Linked DNA regions of Caenorhabditis elegans. The protein of the gene in region 2 interacts with the protein of the main gene of each other region in a pairwise test. Each region holds a gene or a part of one and is shown on either strand. Other genes may lie near its edges.

Region 1 (3,508 bases), on a different chromosome or scaffold from region 2:
TGTCCCCGAACATCAATATATAAATTTTCAGTTGGTACAAGGAGAAGTTCCCGAAATACCCACCAACGCGTCGTGCCCTAATTCCGTACATCTATTAATTTACAATTATTTGTTTTGTTGTAATTTTTATAGTTTTACTCACCTCACATTCCGTTGATCGGCATCGGCATCTAATTTCTAATGCTTCAAGTTTACCGTGTGATGAAAAGTTTCTAAAATTGCAAATAATTTTCAAATAACTTTTTTTAAATGACATAAGTTTTTAACAGTATCTAAAACTGAAAGTTGAATAGGAACATCTCTGCTGAAAACAACAAACAAGACATTTACAGATGAGACACAAAACACAGATTTTCAAATGAAGATATTGAATAAGTATATAATTTTTAAGCGACATTGACCAGCTCCATATCAGGGCACAAAAAACCTTTTTTCAATATGGTAACGCGAATCACAACATTAACAGTAGTTTTTGCTTTTCAACTTTACTATTTCGTTGACACAAATGGACTGTTTATTGCATCAAATACAGAAATATGCAAACCACGGAAATTGACTAGACGTTGTAATTAAGCAGAAATATCGTTCAAATATTGCTGGCGAACTCGTTGCTCATCTCCATCAGCTTTGCGGTTGAATGCAGTCCACTTGGGATTATTTCGGAAAAGTCTCAGAGCAACGACGTCTTCCTGAAAATTAATATTTCTTCACTATAGTTCCAATAAAATTAGTATACAAAAACTCACCGAAGGATCGGTAGTGAAGCGATGGTAGATTCCTGCGGGAAGAAAAACAAAGTCTCCTCGACGAACTGGGATGCGGATCCAAGCTTCCTGTTTTTCTTTTTTTTTTTTTGTTTTTCTTTGAAAAAGGAAGTTTTTTTTTAACGATTTGAACATTTGGAATGTTTCTAATAACTTCCGTAATTTTTCAGATATCATCATGAAAATTGGAGATCATAAATTTTTCAACATTTGCCATCGAACTGCATTAACACTTTTTCAAAAACTTTTTTTTTCAATAAAACTCACGTCTTTTGTTCTGACGTCAAAGAACCCAACGCCATGCTTAATTACACGAAGTTCCGCATCATCGTGAAGATGTTCTTCAAAGAAGATGTCAAGCTGAAAATGCAAATGTTTATTTCTGTTATTGACTTTCAAATTGTTTACTTTTTCATCGAAATTCGGCATGGTGGCACGACAAATATGAACTTCGTCGTGAAAATTCATGTCATATTTCTTGATAAGACGATCCAAGTCCTCTTGAACATGTTCGTCATCAAAGTTGACCTGAAAGGAAAATCATTGTTTGAGAAATGCCTCAAATATTACTTTTGTGCATTCGACTCCAATTCGCAAAAGATCTTCTTCGGTAGCTTCTTTGTTCGGCGAAAATCTGCATTCATCTTGGCGATTTTCCTTGGTAACATCAGTCATGAAATACGCCATCTCTGGAAATATTAAAATCAGTAGAGAATTGGCTAAAAAAAAAGAGAAAAAAACGAAGAACAAAGAACGGAGGTGCATTTCATAAATGTAATAAAATCGATAACAGTGCGATGGACAGCAAAGACTGTTTCGATGAACACACCGATAACGGAGACCACTTTTTATAGACATTGTGAACTAGTTAGATACCATTCGGTCATTTGAAAAATACCTGTTTGGTTTGAATTGAATTATGAAGTGACTTTATCACAAATACATTTGATTTAATATAATCGCAGCGATCGGAATTGGATTTTACAAACACTAGTTTGTTTAAAATATTAAAAAACTACAGAATTGCTGACGTTTTCACAATTATTGCTGGGTTGGCAAAAAGTCAGTTCAGGACTATCAGATACTGCACCACTATTATGAAGAAGCTGCTCAACAAATTTTACACATATTTGTGATCGCATTTTAAATGTGGGTGCTATTACCGTTTTTAAAGTTTCCGTAAAAGAGTTTTCATAGAGTCCTTTCGTTTTATATCAACACATTTTGTTTTGCAAACAATTTTTATTGAATGAATGTGTAAACGACTGAGAAACACATACAAATTTAAAGATTATTGTAGAGTTTGTTGCAACCGCTTATCTTGTTTTTTAGCTGGTGTGGTTTTCAAGCAGCATCTGAAGTCTTTATCAGTTGTGCAGGAACCATCATAGACAGCAGCACAGTTATGAACACAGAAATTGTAGCAAGTTTTGTTGGTTTGAGTGGCAAAACTGATCCATGGAGAGCAGAATGCGTAAGATTCATCACCATTGACACCAGCACAGAACTTTGTTTTCAGAATTTAAAAACAGCATTGCAAAAACTTTCATAACCACCGAGTTTAAGCAGAAAAAGTACGTTTTCAGGCCTAATTTTGGAGCACATTTTAAAATAGAATGGAATGGGAAATTAGTAGATTTACCAAGCTTTGAAAATTAATATCTGGCTTCAAACTATCTTTTTGGAAAATCCCTGTAGCCATTTTATTGCAAATTTCGTGTTCTTTCTGAATTTAAAAACAGCATTGCAAAAACTTTCATAACCACCGAGTTTAAGCAGAAAAAAAACGTTTTCAGGCCTTATTTTGGAGCACATTTTAAAATAGAATGGAATGGGAAATTAGTAGATTTACCAAGCTTTGAAAATTAATATCTGGCTTCAAACTAACTTTTTGGAAAATCCCTGTAGCCATTTTATTGCAAATTTCGTGTTCTTTCTGAATTTAAAAACAGCATTGCAAAAACTTTCATAACCACCGAGTTTAAGCAGAAAAAAAACGTTTTCAGGCCTTATTTTGGAGCACATTTTAAAATAGAATGGAATAGGAAATTAGTAGATTTACCAAACTTTGAAAATTAATATCTGGCTACAAACTAATTTTTTTGAAAATCCCTTTTTGAAAATCCCTGTAGCCATTTTATTGCAAATTTCGTGTTCTTTCTGAATTTAAAAACAGCATTGCAAAAACTTTCATAACCACCGAGTTTAAGCAGAAAAAGTACGTTTTCAGGCCTAATATTGGAGCACATTTTAAAATATAATGGTATAGGAAATTAGTAGATTTACCAAACTTTGAAAATTAATATCTGGCTACAAACTAATTTTTTTGAAAATCCCTTTTTGAAAATCCCTGTAGCCATTTTATTGCAAATTTCGTGTTCTTTCTGAATTTAAAAACAGCATTGCAAAATCTTTCATAACCACCGAGTTTAAGCAGAAAAAGTACGTTTTCAGGCCTAATATTGGAGCACATTTTGAAATATAATGGTATAGGAAATTAGTAGATTTACCAAACTTTGAAAATTAATATCTGGCTACAAACTAATTTTTTTGAAAATCCCTTTTTGAAAATCCCTGTAGCCATTTTATTGCAAATTTCGTGTTCTTTCTGAATTTAAAAACAGCATTGCAAAAACTTTCATAACCACCGAGTTTAAGCAGAAAAAGTACGTTTTCAGGCCTAATATTGGAGCACATTTTAAAATAGAATGGAATAGGAAATTAGTAGATTTACCAAACTTTGA
Region 2 (4,968 bases):
TTGAGTACACTTTTAGGTGAATTCTAGCGAGACTAACGACTAGAGGTGATAAATTGTGTGTCGATTACTTAAAATTATCAACCGGTTTAGTTACTATTTTTGAAATTAAAAATAGTTTTTTATCGATGGAACGACGAAAGGTCACATATTGATACGGGGCTGAAGAAGGAACATTTGTTTTGCAATGCCTACAAATGTCAAACTTATATTAGAACACTTGTGACACATTGAATAGAACACTTGAAGTCGGATTGAAAACTATGGTCTGTTAACTGAGAAAAGTCGAAAATTTCAATTTTTAAAAACCTGAACTTCTCAGCTTCAACTAGATCGCAACCACTTGAATTTTCAGAGGGATCACTTTAAAGCTCTCAAAAATCGAACCGAAAAAGAACTACACCCAAACATCTGCCATGGGAAGTGTGATTCTCGAACAACAAGAGAGACCTGTCCTCCTCTACAACAGTGTAACATGTCGGCTTTTGCCTCTAAATGAGTAATGGGGTTTCAGAGGAGAAACACCGAGAAAATCAGAGGACACGATACGACGCTGTAAACTGTCCCTTTTCTTTATATATTTGAATGAAACATACACATCATTTCGAGAAGGTCGCCTCGAGAATAATGAAGTGATGAGGAAACGGGGAGAAAACGAGTTCCCTTGTGATCAGTACAGTTACAGCGAGAGTTGTTCTAGTGGGAATTAGACACTTTATTGGCAACTATATTGGGTGAAACCGCCGTTCTTTTAAATGAAACAAGGAGGGAAAGGACAGGTCAAAAAGATTTCAGTTGGATGTCGGCTGGAGGTACAAGGCAGGAGTGGGCGGCAATTGCCGTCCGGCAAATTTTTTGTTGACAAATCGGCAATTTCCCGCTTTGCCGGAAATTTTAAATTACGGCAATTTTCTGGAAATCTCAATTTCGGCAATTTGCCAACTTGCCGGAAAAATCGTTTGCCGCCCACCAACAATGTGATTACCGATTTCCAGAGACTTCCAGAGATTTTCAATCCTAGATCTATTTCGAAGTTGGATCTAAATATTTTAGGTTTAAGAAACTTTGATCTCGAATTTTCGTGATTTCGACAAGTGCCTGAATTACCGATTTTCAAGATAACAACTGCCGGAAAAATGACATCGATGAATTCTGTATATCAAAATGTTTTCAGAATGCCTTAAACATGGAGTAACGACTATTAAATCGATTTAAAATGTGTCCAAATGACATGATTTCATAGAGAAACTGCTCAAAAATGATCAAAATTTCAAAAAATGACCTGGTTTCATTACATGCTTTTTTTTGTTGATTTATGTATATTTTCGGTCGATAGGTAAGCCAAAAAAACCGAAAATGTATTTTAAAAAACGAAAAACACGCAATTAACAACCAAACTGTGCAAAATTGGGTGGTAATTAAATTTTAAAAATTAATTTCCGGTTGGCCAAGAGATTATAGATAAAAATAGCTCTTTTTTTAATTTTGAGCAGTTTCTCCGAGAAATTCAGTCATTTGGTCACTTTTTGCGCCAAATGAAACAAAATCGTTATTTTTTAATTCTTAAAGTACTTTTTTTAAAGAATTTTTATGTCATAAAACTATAGACAACGTCAAGAAATCAAACATTGAACTAACTTTAGTGTTTTAGCGAATATATCGTAAAAATAGCCCGAAAGAAAAAACGGAAAATATTTTCGCTGGATCCAAGAATATATAATTTGATGATTACAAATTATTATTTTCAAACACTTTTTTTTGGTAAACATACAAAAAATGTGGCTTTTCTGCCCTAATCAGTAAGAAAACGAGCAGCACGTGGTTGTCTTGATAACGTCTATCAGATGGTCGGTCGACTGAAATTGAAAGTTCCCGCCGGACGGTACAAAGTTTTAAATAGACTCGTTTTTCAAATAACTGATAAGGCAAAAGCTCGTATTTGTGTCAATTGCACGGAATTACGAAACAAGATTCATTTTTATCGAAATTTAGGCATTTTAGTGCCTATTTTCACTTTTTCGGCGGGATTTGTCCCAAAAATTGTTATAATTTACAAAAATTAATAAAAGTAAATATTATAACAGAAGAAAAATCAAGAAAATTCGAAAGCAATGGGCACACAATACGCAACTTGTATTGTCTACCGTAACTAAAGGATTTCAATGGATTAAAATCGCGAAAAATATACAAAATTAAAAAAAAAGATGAATATCAATAAAGATAGTTAATCCCATGATATCTACTGCTTTTACTCTGAAAAGTAAGAAAACCCGAGCGAAAGAAAAAGTGAAAAGGCGATTGAATTGTGAAAGTAGAAGTTGACGCCGATATACCACTTTTCTCCCATTTCCCTTCAATTCGCATCCCATTTTATTGCTGTAAACGTTTTATCGTGTCTGAATATCTGAAAATGAAAACACCAATGTCTGAAAGTGAGAAACGAAGAATCGGGATTCCATTGGTGACCGAGTTTTTCTTTTTTTCGCGGCCATATGATAAAATATGGCTGAAACTTCTTTTTTCTATTTCCCAGACCCACAGCCTCCTCACGTGGAAATGACCCAACAAGGGGGCTTGCGCGTTTCTCTTGAGCGTTGGAAAATTTTACCACTGAAAAATGATTTCCTTCGGTTTTTGTGGGTTTAAAATCGATTTCATACTTTGAAATTAGGTATCAATTGTAAAGCTAATTGGGGGAAAGGAGGAGAAAAAAAGATTTTTGATTTTGGTTCAAAAATAAAAGCGCTGATATAAAAAGTAAAAACAACTACTCAGGCAACTCAAATCTAATATGAAAATATTAAATAGCAATATTTTTGTAGTAAAAACGAGAAATAGTGCGTCCATATACGATTACTAAAAATTTCGAATAGATTTCAATTTTGTCTCAAAAGATTACAATTTCATCTCAAAATATTGCGAAAGTGTGAAAATTTCTAGGAAGACTTCCGTTTTATCTCAAAATATTACTAATTTGTCTCAAAAGACTGCGAACTAGTCTCCGAAGATTGAGATTTCATCTCCGAAGATTGAGATTTCGTCTCAGAATATTGCGATTTTGTCTCAAAATATTGCGAATTTGTCTCTAAATATTAAAAATGCATTCATCGACTATTCTAGAACTGTTTTGTGATAACTCGAAGAACTTTTGTTGCCATTGAGGGGAGTTGAACTTGTCCGTCGCTTGTCGTTGAGTCTATGAACCATTATCTTACCTGTTGAGCCATCCTGTACGTGTCGCATCTAGTTTTAGTTATTGCTTAAGTAAATAGTTGATGGGCGCACGTCCTTTTCGTTACTTTTCCTCAAAAGTAATGCCAAGTTTGAATAGAAAATTTTCGATGCCATCCACAATTCGCGACATTTTGCGACCGTGACCGAACGAAGGAATGACGAAAATTGATTACACGGCAGTTTTTATTTAGAAAAAAAACTAAATAAAAAAATGAATGTTCACGGGATTCAATAAATAAATTTTTTGAACATTTTTTGTTACCCAGACGCGAAATTTACGGGTTTTAGACAAATTTCTCAATTTTCAAGAGTTGAAATATAGTTTTCTAAAGGGAAAATTAACTTTTTTCTCAAATATTTTTTGGTAGTTTTGTTGCAAATGTTTAGTTCTTTTTGAAAAATCTCAGTACACCTTTGATCAGCCTTTGAGTTATTATGGTAATTAACATTTATAAGCAAAATTTATAATTTTTCAAAACATCAAGTTTATTCACTAATAAATAAATGATGGCATCGAAAATTTTCTATTCAAACTTGGCATTACTTTTGAGGTGAGCTATAGGTTCCAGGGTTTCACGCTTGCAAAAATGGAAGAGTGGCTGTGTGTGAATCTCGGCCGCGGACAGAAAAATGGAGTTATGCAAACGCGCTCCGCTGCACAAAGCGATTCTCGCTGTCAAAGTCGACGAGCTTTCAAAATTGTCCACAATCATCAGAGCTTTTGTGAAAAATAACTGAGCTCTCACCAAAATGAGGAAAATAGGCGGTAGGCAGGCATGTAGGCATTGCTCTCCAAAATCAAAATGTTGCGGGCGAAGCCCGTAAATTGTTCACAGTCTGAAATTTTCAGAATCAATATTCAATGATCAGTGTCGGCTACATGTGCCTGTATCTCTGGAAGACGATGCTTTTTCTGATTGATGCATTCTGCGCAATCTTCGGAGATCGCAAAGTCGAGCGTTTCGACAATTTCGGCTTATTCCTTTCGTTCAACCTTTTTGCGGTGAGAAGAGATTTAAAAAATTCAATTAAAAAAACATTTATACAGATCATCTATGGTGTATTCTTCGTAACGATCGAGCCTGAGAGCAAGCGATGGTTCTGTTACTGCGGAATTTTGGGGGTAATTCACGAGGTGTCACACTCTGGTGTAATCTGCAAAAAATGCAAAATTTTAAAATCACACTTCTCAACTGATTTTGTATGGTTAGGATCATGCTGACGTCACATATTTCTATTCGAAAAATTCCCGCATTTTTTGTAGATCACACCGAAATTGGACATTCTGACACCACGGGGTAATTGAAAATTAGTTGAGTAATGGAAAAATAAATGATCTTGTTTGGAACAAATTCAGAAGTTTTCTGATTTCTCAATACTTCCCGAGTAGTTTTTTCACAAAAACCTTGAAAATTCGTAGGGTTAACGCAAATTTCAGGCGATTCATCTAGTCACATCCACCATCTTCTATTTCTACATTTATATTCGTTTGAACGTCGAGGACAATCAACAGCTTTTGTATTGTTAGTATTTTAGAATTTTACTTGTAGAATCAATTTCAAAATTAAAACTTTCAGGGACAAGCCGCCTGGCTCCAATTTCAATGTTATTTATGACCGGGTTGCTGATGATTTCTGTGCTGATTATGTGCAAGATGAGGTTATTTTTTGGTCTATGGGATACAAACCCTGAATTTGTTTTATTTCAGTTTTTTCCAATCGTCCAAGAGGTTGCTGG

What was found.
Region 1: the proteins of F53E4.1 (region 2) and F42F12.4 interact in a two-hybrid assay, tested with the Caenorhabditis elegans proteins (one large-scale study listed by BioGRID).

Annotation. Positions count from the first base shown.
Region 1 is NC_003284.9:12,351,495-12,355,002, forward strand, and holds F42F12.4 (Acireductone dioxygenase), read right to left. Parts: upstream 1,454-3,508; 5' UTR 1,452-1,453; coding exon 1,335-1,451; intron 1,293-1,334; coding exon 1,173-1,292; intron 1,125-1,172; coding exon 1,032-1,124; intron 834-1,031; coding exon 747-833; intron 690-746; coding exon 570-689; 3' UTR 501-569; downstream 1-500. Other genes in the region: srdf-2.2 (3-oxo-5alpha-steroid 4-dehydrogenase (NADP(+))), read left to right, coding at 32-98.
Region 2 is NC_003283.11:15,665,077-15,670,044, forward strand, and holds the start of F53E4.1 (Kelch domain-containing protein 3), read right to left. Parts: upstream 3,225-4,968; coding exon 3,213-3,224; intron 1-3,212. Other genes in the region: K06B4.4 (Conserved plasma membrane protein), read left to right, coding at 4,094-4,234, 4,280-4,354, 4,670-4,754, 4,809-4,890, 4,940-4,968.